Linked DNA regions of Astyanax mexicanus. The protein of the gene in region 1 interacts with the protein of each later gene in a biochemical or structural test. Links are inferred from orthologs where the notes say so. Each region holds a gene or a part of one and is shown on either strand. Other genes may lie near its edges.

The links.
Region 2: the proteins of tek (region 1) and angpt2a form a complex in vitro, tested with the Homo sapiens proteins (7 studies listed by BioGRID and IntAct, with this or other methods). The link is inferred for Astyanax mexicanus from reciprocal best matches to the Homo sapiens genes TEK and ANGPT2.

What each region holds. Positions count from the first base shown.
Region 1 is NC_064408.1:10,131,928-10,149,273, forward strand, and holds the start of tek (tyrosine-protein kinase receptor Tie-2), read right to left. Parts: upstream 7,373-17,346; 5' UTR 7,108-7,372; coding exon 6,990-7,107; intron 1-6,989. UniProt on the Homo sapiens protein: Tyrosine-protein kinase that acts as a cell-surface receptor for ANGPT1, ANGPT2 and ANGPT4 and regulates angiogenesis, endothelial cell survival, proliferation, migration, adhesion and cell spreading, reorganization of the actin cytoskeleton, but also maintenance of vascular quiescence.
Region 2 is NC_064414.1:2,731,754-2,738,752, forward strand, and holds the start of angpt2a (angiopoietin-2a), read left to right. Parts: upstream 1-3,999; 5' UTR 4,000-4,353; coding exon 4,354-4,608; intron 4,609-6,999. UniProt on the Homo sapiens protein: Binds to TEK/TIE2, competing for the ANGPT1 binding site, and modulating ANGPT1 signaling. Can induce tyrosine phosphorylation of TEK/TIE2 in the absence of ANGPT1.

The DNA.
Region 1 (17,346 bases):
ACTGGCTAGCATTCCTCTAAATGATGGGAGGAGAGGGAAGGCCATTATATTCACTTAGAAAAAGGGAGGTCAAAATATAATTACTGTGATCAAGCCTCTCTTTATAATCTTTTTATAATAAGACCAAGGCTTAGCCAAGGTCCAGCACAGTTTGCTGATTATTACCTAACTCTAGAAGAGCTAATAAGCCTGGAAGTTAGCAGGAAAACTATGAAACCTAGCAGGAATCAGACCTCCAGGAGCAGAATTGACCACCCTGGCTTAGATGCTAGTGCCAGTTCTGTAGTCACCCACAGCCACATTCATAAAAATAAACAGGAAATAAATTAGTTACTCATACTTAAGTAGTTCAGAGATAAGGAACAAATAGTTAGAATCTGTCTATGGAACAACACCAGTAAAGTACAATTGAGATAGGTAGGTTTATGCTTAGAAAAGTTCTGTTTACATTAGTTAAAAGTAAAAATCCACTCTTGGATTTTGCTCCAACTGTCTGCCCGGGGTGGATTTTTACTTTCTGGACCTGGACGGCCCACCTTTGTGTGTTTAAATAGGATTTCCGGTGGATTTGGCGTTTTACAGAGACTCTAAGACTAGGTCAGTGTCTGAACTGCACTTAGCAGGACATTACACATGTTGTAAAGTAATATGTGAAATTGCAAAGACTGTTGTTAGTGTAAAAATGCCTTTATTTTAAAGCGTTTCTAACTGTTGTCTGTCTCACTGGTGTCACATTGCTGTTAGCCAATCAGAGGCAATATGTTTGCATTATACTGGACCACCAGCACACTTTTTCACAAAACCAGCTCACATGACATTCATTCATACTAGAGACCACACCTAAACATTTTAAAATGAATGAAAAAACCCACAGATACACTGTCATAGCAACTCTCACTACAAATCTGTGGTCATATTCTTCCCACACAGATCTGATTAGCTACAATAACACAGTGCAGATTGGTACTGTACCATTACAAACATCAAACTATGAGCAAACCCTGGTTCATCAGGCTGAATGTGTGTTTTTTTGTCAGCAGTCGCAGTGGAAAAATGCCTTTCTGAGCACAAGCATGAATGGATCACTTGCTTTTTTAGGGTTTCATTTCACGGCATTCTGTTTCTGCTTTAAGTCATGGGTTGATTTGCAAATTCACTGTAGAATATGTTCGTTAATTTTAGACTGAAAACCAGGAAAGTACATTCTAAAAAGGTAATGCTGCTTCTGCAAAAGTGAAATGATATATATATATATATATATGCTTGTCACGCAAACCAAATCTTCAGAGCAATGCACCAACATCAATTAGAAAGCTTTCTTTGGACAGTAGAAACAGTTACTCCAACAAAAGAAGGATAAACATAGTTTTAATGGCCTTGAATTCAGAAGAAACAATTAATAAGCATACTGTAAAACCTTTCAAGTTAAATAAACTCAAATGATTTGAGGAAACTGATCGCCTTAAACCATTTAAGTTTGATAACTCAAACGATTTAAGCAAAAAATATTTTTTGAAATGAGTGTGCATAATACACATAATCATTGTTAAATAGAATTGAGTAAATTAAGTGAGTTAAGTACTAATCCCTGTTCACAGTATAATTGTTAGTTTATTTAAGTATTTTGGATTCATGTGCACTGAAAACCCTAGTAAGTTAAGTCTACTCAAATCCTTTTTTAGGTAATTCATAATTAATTAGGTAATTAATTAAGTTTTCAAAACTATTTTTTTAGTTAATTTTAATACTGTGTGGAGTTGAACAAACATTCATTCTCAAAATGATTCATTCACATAAATGAGCTATAAATGAGACCTCAAATAATGCAAAGAAAACAAGTTCATATTCATAAAAATTTAAGAGTTCAGAAATCAATTCAAGCAAATCAAGCTGAGCAAACTCAGTTTTACCAATTAAACGTTATAACTAAAACTAAAACGTTATAATTAAAAGTTATAAGAACTTCCTATCAAACAGTATCAGCTTATTTAATTTGAGAAAACCAATTGCTTTAAATTACTAGTTATACTAACTCAAATCAAACACTTAAAACAAAAACTTTAAATAGCAGCAATAAATGCAAGAAGGCAACACATCATTTTTGATCATTTTTAGTTCAGTAAGAAACGCAGTTAAGTTTTACAGTGCAGGTGTCCCAATACTTCTGGCCATACAATACTCCGTGACCCTCTTGCTGAGATGTTTGGAGTCTATAGGTTATATCCTCAGGTTTCTGCACACATTTAGACTGAAATGTCAGAACCTGGCCTAAAGGCCTAGGTCTATTATAGCTGGCTTACATCCATAGATAGCACACACACACACACACACACACACACACACACACACACACACACACAAAAACACAGGCACATACTGAATCTGGACCATCCCCAAAACACCCCCTAAATCATCCGGCTACACAGAGTGGTGAAGCCGTGGTGGGCTCAGAGGTGCTATCCCGTGTCCCAGCAAAGCAGCAGACCAGCACAGTACATATCTCCTTACAGATTACCTCACTAACTCACACACACACACACACACACACACACATACATATATATATATATATATATATATATATATATATATATATATATATATATATATATAGTCGCTATCCAAAGAAAAACTACACTGTAAACCCACTAGTTGAATTAACTTATAATAACTGAGTTTATTCTGCATTTATTTGGGTGTGACTCCCGTTTTATGACACTCACCATCAGTGTGTAGTCAATCCCCCACCAACCCCCCCACCCCCGGACTAGCTTAGGTAAAGTCGTCAATCATATATTATGATTAACTTCTTGCTCTCTGTGTTGTAGGCTTTAAGAACAAGCATCATTTTCTAAACTGCAGTATCTGTGTGTTGGCTGTATGCTCTATACTGTTCACTCAATAGTTTTTTTTCTTCATCAACTTTTTTTCAACTTCATTTTTATAAGATATCAAAGAGAAGACTAAATACAAATATACACATTTTATTCACCTGACTATCACATTTAAAGTACAGTTATTGTGCAAAGCAATTGATATAATAAAAAAAAATAATATACTATCATATATTTTGTGTTCTGGTTAAGTTGGTGTAAATTATATTAATTATGTAATTATTACTTAAACCAATATAGTATATAGTACTTCAGAAAAATATATATATATATTATATACATATATTCAGGAAACTCTAAATTTAAAATATATATGTATATATATTTGTTAAGTTTACTGTGCTTAAAAATAAAATTACATGATTTTTTTTTTTAAATCGGTTACAGCAAAACTTTTCAGTAGAACAAAAAAAAAACTCTTTAACTTTCAATGGAAGTCAATGCAAAAAGAATTGATTCCAAGACTTTTTGGAGCATTTCTATTGGTCCATTTATCATGACATTTTGAAACAAAGCGAAGGACCACTAATGTATTTAAATAATGTATTAAACAACAACGATCTGCCTTTAGCTCATTTCTAGCATCCTCACACATCTGGTTCTGTTACAGCAGCTCGTCTCTGGAAGCATAAAGGGTTTCTTATCAGAGAGAAGCACAAAAGAAAGAATTTAACCCTTTGACCTTATCTGCTCACAACACACAGAAACAAGTGTTCTACTGAAGTGATGTGATTTCTTCAAATGGTTAAAAAGGTTCGCATATGACTATTCAAATTTACAGAATATAATAAAATAATCTTAATAACTTGGGAAGGTCAATACAAAACAATTCAGTCCAAGTAATTTTGAAGCATTTCTATTGGTTCATTCAATTTTTTTTTTTTACAATATTATGACATAAAGAATTGCTAGATTCACATTATGTCAAAAAATTAAACAACAAAAATGAAGATACTAGGGTTTTGCAGGATTCCGGCAATACCTCACAAATGCTTAAACTTTAGTCACCATGCTTGGTTACAACAATAAAGAAAGCATAGAGCTGTATATTCAATCAATATTGAGTAATTAAGACAAGACACGACAAGACAAGACAATCATATGCACCATACTTTGAAATTTGGCCTCTGCCTTTAACCCGTTACACACTAGAGAGAACACTTAGAAGACAAACTCCCAACAGTGGTGGCCTGTCCCACACTCAAGAAGTATCAATATAAATTACTCAATATTTAGAATAAATGATTCAGTACATACTACTTCAAATTATTCAGCATGTACTACACAGCTCTGAAAAAATTAAGACACCACTTCAGTTTCTGAATCCGTTTCTCTGATTTTGCTATTTATAGGTTTATGTTTGAGTAAAATGAACATTGTTGTTTTATTCTATAATCTACAGACATTTCTCCCAAATTCCAAATAAAAAATATTGTCATTTAGAGCATTTATTTACAGCAAATGAGAAATGACTGAAATAAAAAAAAAGATGCAGAGCTTTCAGACCTCAAATAATGCAAAAAAAACAAGTTCATATTCATGAAGTTTTAAGAGTTCAGAAATCAATATTTGGTGGAATAACTCTGTTTTTTACGCATGACAGTTTTCATGCATCGTGGCATCTTCTCCTCCACCAGTCTTGCACACTGCTTTTGGGTAACTTTATGCCTTTACTCCTGGTGCAAAAATTCAAGCAGTGCAGTTTGGTTTGATGGCTTGTGATTATCCATCTTCCTCTTAATTATATTCCAGAGGTTTTTCAACTTGGTTAAATTAAAGAAACTCACCATTTTAAGTGGTGTAGAGCTGTACATTATACAATATTTACTGTACATTTTATGATGTAATTTTTTTCAGTACCTACTACAAATTATTCAGCTTTTACTAACATTCCAGTAATGTTAACTGTAACATTTTGAAAACGTTCAACAAACCAAATATTGATATCATGTCCAAACTTGTTGGCCAGCATGACCAGTCTCGCCACACTATTCCACCATTTGTGGACCATCATGACCAAGCAGCTTCACCAGAATGACCAGCATGAACAAGCTAGTCGACCAATAAGACCAAGCTTATATATAGATGTTTAATTGACGTTCCCAGCTAGGCAGATAACTTTATGAAAAACGTTAAAAGTAACATTCCCAAAACTTAAACAAGTGACATGGCAGTGACGTTACCAGTACATTTAAAAACGTTTTAAGACCATCCAAAAAAACTGAAATTGAATGGTCTAAGAACATTAACTGTAACATTCAGAAAATGTTCTACTAAACAAATATTATCATAACCAAGCAGCTTGACCAGCATGACCACCGTGACCAAGGTAGCCAACCAATATGACCAAGCTTCCCAGCCAACAGGGAACATTATAAGAACGTTTAGCAACATTTTAAAAATGTTTCAGGAAGGTACTGAAAATGTGACATAATAATGGTCTGAATTACATTCTTATTAGAATGTTTCTTACATAATGTTCCCAGCTAGATGGATAATAACGTTATGAAAATGTTAAAAGTAACATTCCCAAAACTAAAACAAGTGACACTGCCACAACAGTATCAGAACATTTAAACACGTTTTAAGACCATCCAAAAAAAACTGAAATTGAATAACCTAAGACCATTAACTGTAACATTCAGAAAACATTCAACTAAACAAATATTATCTAATCAACGGGTTGACCAGCAAAACCAGCATGACCAAGATAATAAACCATTATAACCAAGCATCTCACCTAACAGGGAACATTATAAGAATGTTCAGCAACATTTTGAAAATGTTTCAGGAAGGTACTGAAAAATTTTACCCAATAATTGTCTGAATTACAACATTATTAGAATGTTTCTTAAAATATTTCCCACCTAGAAGGATAATAACGTTATGAAAATGTTGAAAGTAACATTCCCCAAACTAAAACAAGTGACACTGCAACAACAGTATCAGAACATTTATAAATGTTTTAAGACCATCCAATGAACTTGAGATTGAATGTTCTAAGAACATTAACTGAAAACATTCAACTAAACAAATATTATCATAACCAAGCAGGTTGACCAGCATGACCAAGACAGCTAACCAATATGACCAAGCATCTCACCTAACAGGGAACATTATAATAACGTTTAGCAACATTTTGAAAATGTTTCAGGAAGGTACTAAAAATGTGACATAATAATGGTTCCCAAAACTAAAACAAATCACACTGCAACAACAGTATCAGAACATTTATAAATGTTTTAAGACCATCCAAAAAAAACTTGAAATTGAATGTTCTAAGAACATTAACTGTAACATTCAGAAAACATTCAACTAAACAAATATTATCATAACCAAACAGGTTGATCAGCATGACCAGCTTGACCAAGGTAGCCAACCAATATGACCAAGCATCTCACCATACAGGAAACATTATAAGAACGTTTAGCAACATTTTGAAAATGTTTGAGGAAGATACTAAAAATGAGACATAATAATGGTTTGCATCACAGCATTATTAGAATGTTTCTTACATAATGTTCCCAGCTAGATGGATAATAACGTTATGAAAATTAGCTATGTTACACTGATGTTGTAGCAATGTTACCAAAATGATTAAGCATGATTAAGCCAGCATGCCTCTCAGCATGATTAATCATGGGTGTGTTTTTGGGCGTAACGTGAAATAAACCAATCAGTATGTCACTTGCCATTCCCTTTAAAACTCTTAAAACCCCAAGTGATGCAAATTGTTTCAAAAATCGTGAATTGTTTTTACAGCTTAATTACTCAGGAATGCAACAACTGACCAAAACAGAGAAAAACACACAGAAATAGACTTTAAGAGGCAGGTGAGCTCTGACTAACACTCACTAAACTGTTTTCTCATTCCTTCTCACCTGAGTGCTGATCACATTCACCTGTTCTCAATTATATCTGTTTATATAATTACTTGTTCATTGGTTGAGCAGAATGAAGCTTCACCACACTTTTCCACCATCTACTGACCATCATGACCAAGCAGGTAGACCAGCCAGAACAACAGCCTGACACTGCAGACAGTAGTTAAACTCCTATAGTAGTTTAACAGTAGTTTAAGGGTAAATCACTGACCTGTGAGGAGATAGCTGAGCAGACAGAGCGTGACGGAGCCGGAGGGGTGAGGCGTGTACCCCCGGCGGCGGGACAGGGGGCCACCGGGGGCGCGGGACACGGGGCAGCACGTCCACATCCAGAGCAGAGCTTCAGAGCTCAGAGAGCCCAGAGAAACAGAGTCAGAAACAAACCTCTGAAAACATCCCTCCTCCCTGAGTGAAGAGCTGGAACTCTCTCTCTCGCTTTCTCTCTCTCTCTTTCTCTCTCGACCCTCCACACCCCCTTTCACCCTCTCAGCTCTGCTCTGTCCAGGCACTGGGAGTAGAAGTTCCTTTTTCCTGTTTCCTCTCTCTCCCTGTCTCTCTCTCTCTTTCTGTCTCTATCCCTCTCTCTCTCTCTCTCTCTCTCCCTCTCTGAACAATTGCTTGTCATTAACAGCAGCTCCTGCCCCAGCCCTGAGGGGAGTGGTGCCCACCCTGACCTTACCGTAGACTTCTCACGAGGGAGGAGGGAAAACTGAGAGAGAGAGAGAGAGAGAGAGAGAGAAAGTGAATATGGTAACACTTTAATTTGATGGTCCACCTTACATGCTTTCTAGATGGTTACCTTCTGTACTTCCTAAGCTTTCCATCATGGACACTTCAAATTTACGTACTGTTTTAAAAATAAAACTAAATAAAATAAGTTTGTTTCACTCCTTAAATCCTACACTTTTTGAAAGTTAGACATTGGAATGGAATGAGCTAACAACAGCGCACCGTAAAGCTTGATTTAGGTTGTTTTAGTGTGTCTTTGCTATCGTAACGACGGTAAAAGTACACCGCTCATTGAGGCCCTACCATGAGAGGCAACACCCTGTATTACTACTAGGACTAACTGACTGTTGTATGCGATGACTCCTCAGATCATCACACCAGCAGTTGGGGCAATATGTTGCTCTACAGCTAACACAGCAGGACTGAAGCGCTCATCACAAGGCGTCCACACCCAAACCCAACCACATTTGAATCCCAAACTTTATCTTGATTTGTCCTGAGACAATACTGTTCCAGTCTACAGCAGTCCAGGCTTCTCTTTCACAACACTACTGCAAATGACTGCAATGATGTCTGGATGATAGAAGACCTAGGTGGTGAAAAAATTCATCAAAACTACCATACCGCCTTTTTTAGTCCAATGATGTGCCCCCTGTCAAAGTCTGTTGACTGAGCAAAATGAATTAGTGGTCTACAATCTCTCACCAAGAAGTACACTATACAGTACACAACTAGGGCCCTATTATAGTCATCTATAGTGCACTGGGCAATTGCGGATCACACAGCTGGATTTAGGGAGTGTCTGTGTGTCTTTTGTATCGTGAGGGTGCAAAAAAATTACCAAACACGGTTCGAAACACGCAAAAGGCATGTACTAATTCTATTTAAATTAATAATGGGTCTGTATTTGGGCATAACGTGAAATAAACCAATCAGTGTGTCACCTGCCATTAACCTTTAAAACTCTTACAACCCCAAGTGATGCAAACTGCATCAAAAATCATGCATACAGTCGTTTATACAGCTTAATTACTCAGGAATGCGCCAACTGACAAAAACAGAGAAAAACACACCGAAATAGACTTTAAGAGCCAGGTGAGCTCTGACTTTGGAACGATCGTTTTGGAGTAGCAATCTACAGGTTGATCAGATTTTAAAATAATTAGAAGAAGGGAAGTCATACACACTCCTGCTATCCCAATACATTTTGAGATTTGAAAAAGTGAGTGCTAACACTCACTGAATTGTTTTCTCATTCCTTTTCACCTGAGTACTGATCACATTCACCTGTTCTCAATTCCATCTGTTTGTATAATTACGTGTTCAATTTATTTGTATGTATATATATCCTTGTCTTTGCGAAGTATTGCCAACCTATTTTTTTGCATACTGACTATACTTTAATTCTTTTTTAGCTGCATCTGTGTTTGATATGCTCTGTCCTTTGGTTTTTAAAGTGATAGTATAAATGGGGATTTTGACAGATGGAAGCAAATGAAACCAATGATTCTGAAAAAAAAAAAGATTCAATCTTGGGAAATGTTTGCCTCATCGTTGCCTCATGTTTTCATGATTGTGATATAAAACATCCCTCCCATAAGCTTCTGTTGCCCTGAGAGTGAATCACTAGCTCTTATTATTTTAAGCTATGTAATGGTTTAAATAAGTCATCATTTACTGATATATAAAGTCAAAAGCAGCACTGGGTTATGTTAAGATCTGGCTTTAACCTTTGTCTCCACTACGCCGTGTTCCCCAATGTTCCCCAGGAGTCAGAATCTGATGGACGTTTTATACTGAGCAGAATTACAGACGTATCCACATACCCAGATAAGCCAGCTCACACCATCACATGCTCAGTGTAAATGTCCAGCTTTTTAGTGAATAACTCAAATGAATGTGAAGTTATGGCAGTATGGGGGAAGCAGGAGCAAACCCAGCTGTGTGTGAGTGTGTCAACAGGCAAAACTGCTACTAGTCTCTTGAGTGAGATGGAGGAGAGAGTGGAGCTCAGCCTGGAAAGGCAGACACATTAGATGTAAAATTCAGTTTAAGTTAAAATATTATTATAATGTTATAATGTTTTAAAATCAAGTCCGCTCTGCTAAAGTTTCAGCCTCACATTTCTAAAAGACATTAAACTGTGTGCTGACTCGGTCTTTAACCGGCTCTTCTACTGTGATTATTCTATAGTCCAAAGATCAAAAGCTCAACTTCTGATTCCCACTGTTCACCATCAGCAGCTGGAGAGCACAGTTGGAACAGAACATTTTACAGGAATATAATAAACTTCTATCCAGACAATGTTCGTTTCCCAGTTCCTTCTCACATGAGTTCTGATCACATTCACCTGTTCTCAATTATATCTGTTTATATAATTAAGATGACTTGGAAAAGGCCTCTCACTCTTTCTTCCTCTCTACTTCTCTCTCTCTTTCTCTTCACTTCTTTCTTCTCTCTCTACTTTTCTCTCTTTCTTTCTCTCTACTTCTTTCTTTATATCTACTTATCACTCTTTTTCTTTCTCTGCATCTCTTTATTTCTCTCTCTCTCTACTTCTTACTCTACTTTTCTCTCTTTCTTTCTCTCTACTTTTTTTATCTACTTATCGCTTTTTTCTTTCTCTGCATCTCTATGTCTCTCTCTCTACTTCTTACTCTCTCTATTTTTCTCTCTTTCTTTCTCTCTACTTCTTTCTTTATATCTACTTATCACTCTTTTTCTTTCTCTGCATCTCTTTATTTCTCTCTCTCTCTACTTCTTACTCTCTCTACTTTTCTTTCTTTCTTTCTCTCTACTTCTTTCTTTCTATCTACTTATCGCTCTTTTTCTTTCTCAGCATCTCCATGTCTCTCTCTCTACTTTTCTCTTTCTTTCTCTCTACTTCTTTCTTTCTATCTACTTATCGCTCTTTTTCTTTCTCTGCATCTCTATTTCTCTCTCTCTACTTCTTTCTCTCTCTACTTTTCTCTCTTTCTTTCTCTCTACTTCTTTCTTTCTATCTACTTATCGCTCTTTTTCTTTCTCAGCATCTCTATGTCTCTCTCTCTACTTCTTTCTCTCTCTACTTTTCTCTTTCTTTCTCTCTACTTCTTTCTCTACTTTTTTATCTACTTATCGCTCTTTTTCTTTCTCTGCATCTCTATTTCTCTCTCTACTTCTTACTCTACTTTTCTTTCTTTCTCTCTACTTTTTTCTTTCTATCTACTTATCGCTCTTTTTCTTTCTCTGCATCTCTATTTCTCTCTCTCTACTTCTTACTCTCTCTACTTTTCTTTCTTTCTTTCTCTCTTCTTCTTTCTTTCTATCTACTTATCACTCTTTTTCTCTTTCTACATCTCTGTATTTCTCTCTACATCTCTTTGTTTATTTCTCTCTACTAACTCTCTTTATTTTTCTCTTTTTCTTCTTTTCTTTCTTTCTTTCTCTCTACTTTTTTATCTACTTATCGCTCTTTTTCTTTCTCAGCATCTCCATGTCTCTCTCTCTACTTCTTTCTCTCTCTACTTTTCTCTTTCTTTCTCTCTACTTCTTTCTTTCTATCTACTTATCGCTCTTTTTCTTTCTCTGCATCTCTATTTCTCTCTCTCTACTTCTTACTCTCTCTACTTTTCTTTCTTTCTTTCTCTCTACTTCTTTCTTTCTATCTACTTATCGCTCTTTTTCTTTCTCTGCATCTCTATGTTTCTCTCTCTACTTCTTACTCTCTCTACTTTTCTTTCTTTCTCTCTTCTTCTTTCTTTCTATCTACTTATCGCTCTTTTTCTCTTTCTACATCTCTGTATTTCTCTCTACATCTCTTTGTTTATTTCTCTCTACTAACTCTCTTTATTTTTCTCTTTTTCTTCTTTTCTTTCTTTCTTTCTCTCTACTTTTTTATCTACTTATCGCTCTTTTTCTTTCTCAGCATCTCCATGTCTCTCTCTCTACTTTTCTCTTTCTTTCTCTCTACTTCTTTCTTTCTATCTACTTATCGCTCTTTTTCTTTCTCTGCATCTCTATGTCTCTCTCTCTACTTCTTACTCTCTCTACTTTTCTCTCTTTCTTTCTATCTACTTATCGCTCTTTTTCTCTTTCTACATCTCTGTATTTCTCTCTACATCTCTTTGTTTATTTCTCTCTACTAACTCTCTTTATTTTTCTCTTTTTCTTTCTCTCTACTTCTTTCATTCTATCTACTTATCGCTCTTTTTTTCTCTGTATCTCTATTTCTCTCTACATCTCTTTATTTCTTTCTCTTTACTTCTTACTCTTTCTGTTTTTCTTTCTTTCTCTCTATTTGTCTCTCTTCTTTCTTTCACATCTCACTCTTTCTTGCTCTACTTTTTTCTCTTTCTCTCTACTTATTTCTCTCTCTATTTATTGATCTTTGTTTCTCTCTACATCTCTTTCTCTCTACAATGACAACTGGTGGTGCATTCTGTTTTTTATTTTACACAGTGTCTCATCTTTTTTGGAACTAGGGTTGAACATTCTGGTGTCTAGTTTGGGCTGAGAGAAATCTCATTGTACACTGTTTAAAGAGCCACTAAACCCTGAACCATATTTTTTAATTTATAGCTGAAATTTAAGTTTATTTGAAGTAATGAAACAAACCAGTCCTGCTTATTTTTTATAAACATTTCCTAACCTTTAAAAAACATTTATTTATTGTGGGAATTTCCGCCTCTGCAGTGTCCTCTCAGGTTCAAATGTGCTACAGGAGAGGATGATGAGTCCATATACTATGGTACACAGACAAATCACAATACGCAAATCAGTTAATCAATAATACCCAAACACCCCACTGCTGACATCCAACCATCTGTGTCTCACCGCTATCAGAGGCCCACTGCTGCTGATACAGGTCAGCCAATCAGCTCTTTCCCTCCTGCCCCACCTCTAAACCCATACATCACCCAGTGCCCCATTTTTTTTTTTTTTTTTGCCTTTTAAAAATTCAATGCGTTTTCTTTATTTTCATGACTATTTACATTGTAGATTCTCACTGAAGGCATCAAAACTATGAATGAACACATGTGGTGTTTTATGTACACAAAAAAGGTGAAATAACTGAAAACACGTTTTATATTCTAGTTTCTTCAACATAGCCAACCTTTGCTCTGATTACTGCTTTGCACACTCTCGGCATCATTCTCTCAATGTGCTTCTCAAAGAGGTGGTCACCTGAAATGGTGACTGTTTTCCGACAGTCTTGAAGGAAGGAGTTCCCAGAGGTGTTTATTAGCACATGTTGCCCCTTTACCTTCTTCACTCTGTGCTCCAGCTCACCCCAAACCATTTGGAGCCATCTGAGGGTGGAGTCAGTTAAAATCAGGGGGTTTAGTTACTCTTTAAGAAATTCTGGAACAAAACAGATTCTGAGCAGTGATTCTGAACTTGTGAAGCAAAGGCAGTGTGTGTTTTGGTGAGGAAGTGAGTGGATTTGCAGTGTAAGTAGGGCAGCTAGAGAACAGTGAGAAACATGGTGTGTATTTACAATAATGATCAGCCCGGCTTCTCTCAGCGCCGCTAGGAAAAATATTCTCATGGACCTTTGGCTCCTGAGAGGAACAGGTTTAAGGAACTGCTGTTTGGACAGAGCTCTGTGTTTCTTCCTCTGTGTGTGTGTGTGTGTGTGTGGGACAGAGAGTGAGAGAAAAAGAGAAAGCATGTGACAGGGAGAGGGAGGATAGAGAGAAAGAGAGAGAGAGAGAGAGACGTATGAGGATGCTGAAGTTATTACAGCAGCTGTGGAAACAGTGACACTCATTCACAGCATTAAAACACTGCCCTCTGCGTTTCTTACGGGCGGACCTCAACATCACTCACATAACAACACTGAACACTGATCTGAATTTGAATGAGATTATTATAAAGGGGATATATAATGCAAAACTCATTTTTTGTGTGCTTTTGTATTTCTACTTGCACCTATAAACACTCCAAACACAGAAATTAAATTCCATCCATCCGTTTTCTGTGAATCAGCTGAAAGAGTTTGGTGTCAGAAATCATTTGCTTCTATAAGCCGTTTGGATGCTTCCCCTACTGTGACATCAAAATAATGAAAATCTGCATAGAACCACCCTGGCACCACCCTTTGCCAGAGCCCCACCCACTAGATCAGTTGAAAAAACACCATTTCGGCCTCAGACTTCTTCTGAGGGAGGGATCTGTACCTATTTTCCTTGGCAAGTCAGCAGATAAGGAAGATGTAAGTACATTCAAACAATGGGTTTTGTGCTTCTATCGAATTAAGCATGATCCAGCTTGTTCCTGTTTTACCGTTTAGCACAAGCTAACACTAACATGTGCTAAACACTCAGCGTAAACATGGAGTGTGGCCTGCAACAGCTTTGCAAGAACTTTGCATAAAGGTTACAGAGCCCTTAAACGGTTCATTTTGAAAGGGACTGAAACAGGTAAGAATAGAGCTTGTACGATTTTTTTTTTATGCGAGTGTGATTTTGTGCAAAGAACTTCATGAACATGTTTTGTATAGCTTATAGACCTCTTCTATGGTGATCATAGGTGCAATAGTGATAGGGTGCATTTATAGAGGTACAATAATAATTGGTAATAGTTTTTGTATGGTGCATATATTTATGTTTACTATATCATAGGTATAGGTATTTTTTATTGTATTTTTAAAATTGATCTTATTTTTATTATTTATTGTGTTTATTTTTTTTACCTAAATGGGTGCTACTGTAACAACACCAATTTCCCTCTGGAATTAATTAAGTATTTTGATTCTGATAACTTGTGTAAAAAGAGGTTTAATATGCCCCCTTTAAAACAAAAAGTGACTACATTTGAACAAACATAACAATACACTTCAATTTGAGCTAATTTGGCTATACAGGAACACGTAGGATTTTGTTTTTTACTTTAGATTATTTTAAGCACTACATTTATCTAGCTGTCTGTATATACGCTACACTAGGTTGACATGCCAAATATCATGGGACAGGAGCTAGTACTGTGCCCTATGACATTTGCCGTGTCCCATGAAGGCTAAAGAACCGTGCACTGATCTGTGGGAAATCTGTGTGGGGTGTGTTGACTCACATTAGATAACACCTCACAACCTATACAGGTGTAGGGATTTCCAAGCTGCAGCATGTAGAAGCTGGTTTAGGAGCAGAGAACACAGAGTACAGGGGTGATAGTGTATACACATGGAGCGGAGGACCTGGAATAGAACAGAAAAGGATGATAAAGTGAATAAGGAGCTCCTCTGACCGGCTGGAGGGTCAAGGCCCTCTCTGTGGCTGTTCTGGGGGCAGCAGTAATTCAGTCAGCAGCTCACAGAGCAGCAGGGTGGAGTTCCTCTAACTCCTCCAACTCCAGCACTAACACACACACACACACCCAGCGCAGGCTTCCAGCCAGCAGCAGAGCTACTAAAGGGGGCATGCCTGGATCTTCAATAAAGAGGACCTCGCAGATTCACAGTTAGTAAAAGCGGGGGGCAGCTAAAACAGGAAAGGATGTGAGTGTGTGTGAGAGAGAGAAAACGAGAGAGAGAGAGAGAGAGAGAGAGAGAGGGAATGACAGAATGGTGATGTATTGCACATATAGTAAGGAGAATCATACTTTGAATCATACTTTATTTTTTAACACACTTTATATATATATATATATATATATATATATATATATATATATATATATATATTCCTTTGAACTCATAAATATATATATATATATCATTGAAAACCTCTGGAATATAATCAAGAGTAGGATGAAACCAAACTGAACTGCTTGAATTTTTGCACAAGGAGTGCATGGCATAAAGTTATCCAAAAGCAGTGTGTAAGACTGGTGGAGGAGAACATGATGCCAAGATGCATGAAAACTGTGATTAAAAAACAGGGTTATTCCACCAAATATTGATTTCTGAACTCTTAAAACTTTATGAATATGAACTTGTTTTCTTTGCATTATTTGTTGTTGTTATTTCAGCAATTTCTCATTTTTTGCAAATAAATGCTCTAAATGAGAATATTTTTATTTAGAATATGGAGGAAATAAAAAAAAAATATATATATATATATATATATATAGGACCACAAGAGAGCAGAGAAGTTGTTCTTATTTGGGTGGTGGGTCATATTATTATTCTCAGCACTGCAGTGATTAGCACTGATTAGTTGATCAGATGCAGCAGTGCTGCTGGAGTTTTTAAACACCTCAATGTTCAAAAGTGCTCGACTGTGAATGGTCCAACAACAGCATCTTATGGACATTCTTATGTGTCCTGTGGCCACTGATGAAGGACTACAGGACAACCAGCACAAACTGTGCAACAACAGATTCAGAGCTTCCGTCTAATAGCGTGAGGGACAGTGATTGGGCACAGTTAACAGTAAATGTGCTGCAGGATGCCATATAGAACCTGTGTACCTCCATACCCCACCGTATCTCATCTTGTTTCCAGGCTAGAGGCACAACAGTAGATACTAGAGCCTCCTTTCAATTACAGTACAGTTTTTCCCAATTAAACACTATTATTCTTTTATTCTAATATTGTAATCATTTACTTACTATATCAATTCCATTTCATTTCAACAACTCCTTCTTGGAGGATTATTCTTGTGTAAATGAGAGCATGAGTTGGAGAGTTGGGGATGAGGTTGGCTGGTGATCATTCAACATCCTGACCTCACTAATGCTTACTGAACTCAATCACGAGTCTCACACTGCCAATCACAACCTCTACCATTTTTACAAACCAGAAAACTCACTGGGCCCAATTAGAGCGAGCTCCGGTCTTCGGCCAGCTCCAGAAGGAGTGTGTTAACTGTGTGCCTCGACCCCTTGAAGAACAAATCCCCTCCCCCTCTCCGAAAGTCTCTCAAATCTTGTTACTTTAATAAATACGCTGCGTTTATTATTTCTAGCCTTTCTCAGGGTTAGCGAGAGTCACGGCCCCTTTAGCGAGAGCGCTGTGACGGAAAGGCTAAACATAGGCTTACACCACAGAGTGATAGATGGAGAGCTTTTGGAGATGAAGGGTCACTGCTGGGTGTTTTTCCATAAGGGATTTGCCTCCAGCATGGAGGGGAAAGTAGAGCGTTGGGTAAGAGTTTAAAAACCTCTTCACAGCAGTCGGTCTCTTACAGCGCAAATCCCAACGGACACTGTTTGGTCATAGACCCCACCACTTGAATTATGTGCTCTCGCTTACTGTTTTCTATTCATTCTAAATGTACTTTTAGTAGCTCTTGCAAACCAAATGTGCACACTAGTCACAAGCCTCTTTATCAAATACATGACCTGCCAAATGTTAGACTTAAAAAAAAAAGAAAATGTTGACCACAATATTGGAAAACTTTTAACAATCAACTATAAGACATAGGCTAATACATTTCAAAATACAGTAATGAAAACCCACTTAAGACCTAATTACACTGACATATTGATCTCAAGCAACTTTTATCACAAGGGGACTGGACGTTTGCACATGATCTGCCAAGATTCCTTAATACCTAATACTGGACAGCATGATTCAAAAGTCACATTTTTTTTACTAAAACTGCAGGTTTACAAAGGAAAAATCTGTTGAAAAGGGACTCCATTGTTAATATTTAGACTAAACTAAAATTCAGCATAAACTTTAAACTCACAGAACTCAACTTAGACACCCCTCAAAGCCCAGAGCCTATAGAATCCACCTGGAAAAAAATGGAAAACCTCTGGATAGGGGTGTGACGAGATCTCGTGGCACGAGATCTCGCAAGATTAAAACGGACGATATTTCTCGTCAGGCTTAAACCTGTCTCGCGGGGCAAAGAAACTGTTAAGTGTGGACTTTTTAAGAGGGATTTGGCAACCCAGTAGCGATAGCGATA
Region 2 (6,999 bases), on another chromosome or scaffold:
AGCCACAGATCTGATTTACTTAATAATAAGTCTAAATTCCAAAAAAATGCATGTTTCATTAAGAAACTTTTACTTTACACTCTACAGCCAAAAGCCCCCCGAGTGAATGAGTGCAGTGATGAAGCCACAGCTTCAGAGTGATGAAGTTTCCTGCCAAATCATAAAAAAAAAAAAAAAAAAAAAACTAGATTCCTGAGCCCGGCAATGACAAATTCCCCTTATCCGAATTAAAAGGGATCGAGCTTTGAATGTTAAACTGTTTAAGAAAAAAGGAGGACGTTGTGTCATTTCCTTCCTCGCGCGGCTTCCGTTCACCACGAAGCGGCCGAGGCAAACACAAGCCTCCCACGCGCGGCGCAGGAAGGTGATTCAGGTCAAACACCTGAAGCTCGGCATTCTGGGAGCTCCTGCTTTGATATCAGCATCTCCTCTCCGTGTTTATCCGTCAGTTTCAGCACACTTCCGGGACGCTGCTGCTGCTGCTGCATCAGGGTCTCTGTCTAACCATCTTCCTCTCCTTTCAGAGTCCATATGACGATATGTTGTTATTATTGAAATGAATTACGTCAGTGTACGCTTTCCTGAGCACTGGAGGCATCAACAGGAGGAAATCACAGCATGATTCATAGAAAAACAGATATTTACAATTAGATCCACTGGTGCCATACTGTCAAATTTAAAACTACATAGAGCTTATTGAATTAAATTTTTTCTGTTTTGTTTTTATCTTTCATACCTTTTTTTCTTTTTAATATTTCACTACTGTGTTGATATCATCTGTTTTACGTATATATATATATATATCACATACAGCCTTTTACTATCCAAGCCTATTTGGATGACCATTAAAAAAAAACAAAAACAAAACAAAACAAAACAAAACAAAAAACGTTATGACCCACACTCCCCACACAATATCACAGCCATAAAACAGCAATTCTTTCAAATTAAGAAATCAAAGGAAATAAAACTTCCTGACATGTTTTACTATAGAATTCCTGTTTTTTGTCCCTCAATTATTAGATTTTGCCATGTTTTACACGTTAGGTTGAATCTCACTGTATTTTACATCCTATAAAATGGGTGTCAATGTAGTTCAATGAGTATTTATACTTAAATATGCTTTCATTTTAACACATTTGATAAGCTTCAGACGCTGTTTTACTGAGAATACTCAGTTAAGAGTAACAGGCATTAAGATTTCCAATAACATGGCCTTATAATACAGAAAATTGTGCTTTTTTGGAAGGAAAATGTTTTTAAAAAACAGATTTTTTTAACAATATAAACTTCTCAGAGCCAACGATGGTTCCTGGTTTTTTATCCATAAGTGTCATAATTAAGGAACAACTTGCTTTTTATTTTCTCTATTACTAATCCTTAGGGATTAAAAGTCAGGGAGAATAAGTGTAAAATAAGGAGTTAAATCCATGGAATGCTCAGAAAATTAGTCCTGATATTGTACCTCTATATTATCATTAGAATTATACTCTTTTACACTACAACAAAATGTTTTCAATTTTAACAAAAACACATATTAATCTTTTGTTTAACGCTAAAACTGACTGACTGAGATGCTGCATAAACAATTTATTCAGAGTCTGTTCTAATTTCTCCTTTGTCAGATATATTAAAATCAGGCTGACCTGATCTCCAGACGACAGAACTCAGTTTTTATGGTTATAAATCAAAGAAATGAGCAAGAGGAAAGCAACAGAACAGCTCTTTTTGTTCGGGGAAGAACATGCAAACTTATATACAACAGAAAAACTAACTATATAACAATGCAGACTGTAGAGAAAATATGTTCCGGAGCAGAGCTGAAAGATCTGTGAACTATGGCATCTCTTTCTATAATGATCGCTCATGTGAAGAGGGAAAAATAAAGAGCGCAAAAGGCAGACAGAGAGCAGAGAACAGAAGAAAAAAGAGAAAGAGTATGGGAAATTGTACGAGAGCTATGGAGTTTCTAGCTCAGTTTACAGGGTACAGAATGCAAAAACCATATCTGATGCATCTGGTTGTACTGCATTAAAAGCCTTATACACTTTTCACACCTGAAAACATCATAATTTAGTGTGAAAACTCGTGTCTTTACTGTAAATCCAGCATGCTTATGCCCGAATTCTTCATAACAGCTCTGACGTACATCAAATGGAAAGTGTTGATGCTGATCACAGAGAAATGTCAGGTGTTAATGGAAGTGACGATTAAAGCCACAGGAGCACTGTAGTGATGTCTGTTCTGAAGAGACCCCCAAAGGGGTTAAGGACAAAACATCCTCTAAGCGGAATTATTTCCTCCCTGCAGCACCTGCTTTCCTCATCCGTCATGTCAGTGTTATATACACCACGAGCCATCAGTGCTCATATGAAGGAACTTTCGGCTGGTCTGCTGCCCCTGATTTGATATCCTCTTTAAAAAAAAGTCTTTAGGGGGTTGTAAGTCCTCACAAACACATCTAAAGAGCGTTAAACATGGGAGCACCTTTTTAAAAAATGAGGTTTTAGATCTGGTCCCTTTTACAGCCCTGTTTTACTGACATACAGCTCTTAATTTTACCAAATTAAAAACCTCTGGAATATAATCAAGAGGAAGATGGATGATCGCAAGCCATCAAACCACCAAACTGAACTGCTTGAATTTTTGCGCCAGGAGTAAAGCAGCATAAAGTTATCCAAAAGCAGTGTGTAAGACTGGTGGAGGAGAACATGATGCCAAGATGCATGAAAAAAACTGTGATTAAAAACCAGGGTTATTCCACCAAGTATTACATTTCTGAACTCTTAAAACTTTATGAATATGAACTTGTTTTCTTTGCTTTATTTGAGGTCTGAAAGCTCTGCATCATTTTTTTTGTTATTTCAGCCATTTCTCATTTTCTGTAAATAAATGCTCTAAATGAGAATATTTTTATTTGGAATTTGGGAGAAATGTTGTCTGTAGTTTATAGAATAAAACAACAATGTTCATTTTACTCAAGAATAAACCTAATAATTACTATTATTACCCTGCTGACGACATCCAACCATCTGCATCTCACCCCTACCAGAGGCACACTGCTGCTGCTGCAGCTCAGCCAATCAGCTCTCCCTCCTGCCCCACCCCTAAACCCATACATCATCCAGAGCGCCTTCCAACCTAACCCTCTTATTTTAAGCCTTTTTCAAATTTGAGCTGAGGGTGGAGTCAGCTAAAATCAGGAGGTTTAGATACTCTAAAAAATATGAAGAGAAAACTATTTAGCAATTATTATATAGTTAGTAGACTGAGCGAACAAAAAACTAAAATTGGCCTATATAAACATCCCTTACTGTGCTTAATGTGCAAACATGAAAAAAGGAGAAAAATAAATATTAACGATTTTGAGATGCTTACACAACAGCTGGCAGATGTGACTGCAATAACAGTTATGCGAAATTCAGAGGAATTAAGAGAAAAATATATTTTTAGCTGATGCATTAATAGAGATGGGGAATCTCATTAAGATGACATTAAAAAAAACTTTTATAAATGACTCTTGAATGAAAGCCAGAGGGTTGTCTGCTTTTATAAACACAATGCTTTTTCAGTTCTTTTTTTTTTTTCCTGAAACACGTTTTTAGATATTGCTCTCAAGACAAAAATATGGAAGCATTAGAAACGTTTTCTAAATCTATGATTCTATCTATGATAGTTTCTCACTCCATCACATGTTAAAACAGCCACTGTTGATACTGAAGTTGCTTGAGCAACACAGCTGCATCCTGAGGGGCTTTTTGGAGTAAAAGCCTCGAAGAAAAACACAAATACTGCCATTGTTGTCCTGTCCTCTTCCACCGGCCTGACCCCGAAACCGTTTGGGCTGTTTTTTTTATCTGGAAGCTGAAGGAGCATCCAGCGGGAATTGTTTAATTAGCGCCTCCTGCTCCTGCACCGGCTGAGAAGCTCCTTAGGCTGCTCTGCTCAGTGAAGGGTGTCTGTCGGGTGGTGGGAGGGGCTTCACCCTTACTACCCAGCCACAGGAGCACATCGCCTCAGACAACAGCAGAGTGTGGGAGACCGGTGACTGGGGAGAACACAAGCTGGGAGTGGGGATCTGCCAAGTGACGCTCCGTTACCACACGCTGACATTTGTCTCCACCTCCCGCTTTTGACAGACTTATAAATGAAGCTCACTCACACTGAGGAGGAGAGAATCCTGCCTGGGGAGGTTCATGCAGATGCAGTTCTCGAAGACTCTCAAGACTTGGCAACACACGAGGAGCCTCTGAACTTCTTCTGACACAAGACAACTGGAAGGCAATTCTCTTCATACTTCAGCAATCCAGGGACTTCTCCAAAAAGATAAAGCTAAAAACATTTAGAGGCAAAATGCAGAACGCGGGAATACTCGTCCTCAGCATCGGCTTCATCCTGGCAGACGGGTTCTCAACAGGTAAGAAGCAGTACCAGATCCAGAACGGGGGCTGCAGCTACACCTTCCTGCTTCCCGAGCAAGAGAACTGTCCGCCCAGCAGCTACAGCAACCTGGCGCAAAAAGACGACCCTGCTGATTATGATCAGTCGGTCCAGAGGCTGGAGCAGCTGGAGAGCATCATGGAGAACAACACGCAATGGTTGCAAAAGGTAACGTTTCATTCAATAATGAAGACAGAGACAGATAGAAAGCAGAAAGCTTGTGTATCTTCATTTTTTTACCAATTTTTCCGTTCCTACAAATCAAAGGTTCATAATAAATAGATAGAGAGAGATGCGGCAAATTGACTTAAAATTAAATATTTCTAAAACGACTTTCAGTAAAGGTTAAACTTTTTTTAATGCTTTTTTAAGCATTAATCTGCATTAATAGATGGCTATAACACGTCTTAGAAAAAGATCTTGTGTATATTGTAGTTATCCAGTAAAATCCAAAACTCTGCCAATTTTCTATTTACTACATCATTTTCATTGGATCAGAAGTTTAAAATAAATATACGAAAAAAAAAAGCAGCAAACTGACTTGGACTTAGATCTTTCTAAAGCGACTTACATTAAAAGTTAAACTTTTTTTTTTCCTTTTCATCTTCTAAAGAGTTCTGCGTTCCCAGATTGACTAACACAGGTAACCAGTCTTAAGTGTGTTAGCTTTGAAAAACTTTCTTTTGTTTCAATCAATAGTCACATATGGTCTTAAACCAATATATATTGTATTGTATGTATTTAAAAAAAAAACGCAACTGTTGCATTTTAATGCCAGTACTAAGTTTAAGAAGCCAAAGAAAAAAAAAAATCAATTGTTAATGCTGGACTAATGCCATCACACTTCATTGTGGCTTCTTAATACCAGGAAGGAAGCAAATATATTGCATATGCATATATTTTTATAGAAAAATGACATCAGAAGTACAATCTGTGGAACAGCATTGGGACGATCAGAGCAAGAACCTCAATCTACACACAGTTCTGCATCCTCGGATGGGTTAAATAAGTCTAATATGTGAGCAGAACAGGTGTGTGTAAATTTGGCTGGATTGCTGTTTTTTTTATAGCCTTGATTCCTGTATGCCGCAAACTCTGAACATGGCATACTTTAAAAGTACAAGTAATGCAAATGTAATTAAGTGATACTTCGAATGGTTGCAAATATTTCATTTTATCACCAACATCATGTTACTTATAGCTTGTGCTTGAGATTTAATATATTTAATGTGGATCAATCAAATCTATAAATTGTTGAAATTGTTGGTACATCCAACATAAATCCACATTCAGCGCAGACAGATGTCTTAGATCTACTCTAATTAAGCAATAAAGCATCTCTATAGCTGTGTTGAAACTAATTATTTTATTTGTATGGCATTTTAAAATCAAGTGTTTGACAGAGCATGACTAATATACCCATTGTTAATTTTTTTTTTTAACTTCACATTAAACTAATATAAAGAAAACACATGTTAAAAATACTTGTTTAACATAAAAATACCTTTGTTGATTTACATTTTGATTTCTATAGAAACAGAGCTTCCTACATTACGGTATACTGGGTGTTCAAGCAAGCACAGCAGACTTGTTTTAGCCCACAACAGCCTTGTAAAATATATAAATATATAAATATATATAAAACGTACGAAAAGATTATAAGATGACTGTTGTTTCTGCGTATTGGATGCTCTGAAAATACAGCATCAATCAAGCGCAGCATCATAGACCAAAAATGAGTTTACTGAAAGAATTTTACAGGAAGGCAGATTCTGAAACCATAAAGATGCTTTCTGTGCTTCCAATTGTATGGTTAAATTAGTTAAACCTTACTACTGTTGGGAGTTAATGCTGGTGAAATAAACTGGTCACACACTTCTTCTTATAAAATTATTTCGTTGGACTGCCTTTAAGCCTTGATTGCAGCTTCATGCATTCACTGTGGCATTGTTTCAATAAGCTTCTGCAAAGTTACAAGATTTATTTCAATCCAATGTTTCCGGATTAATTTTTCACCGAGATCTTGCAGCAGCATTGATGATGGTAGAGTCTGACCAACCGCTGCACAAAGTAGCTCTTCTCCATCCAGCACATCCCAAAGATTCTCAGTGAGGTTAAGATCTGGACTCTGTGGTGAACTCTCTCTCAATCCATGTGTAAAAATGATAAATGATGATCTCATGCTCCCTGAACCCTTTGCACTCACTCTTTCACAGTTCCAGCCCCATGAATTCTGGCATTGTTCATCTTGGAATATGAAAAAAATATATATATATCCATTGATAGAAGAATAACCTATTAGTCTATATGAATTAATTATATTCAGGTAGTCAGCTGACCTCATTCTTTCAGCACATACTGTTGCTGAACCTAAACCTGCAGACCAACTGCAGCATCAACCAACCAACACATCATTTACTCACTTAAATACAGGTGGAGACTTTTTTTGTTTTTTGGCCAGGCAGTCTATATGGTTGCAATAGGTCAAAACTGACAAACAGATTTTATCGCATAGCTTCCTCTCTGACAGTAACCGTACCGGCGTATCTGTCCCTGTCG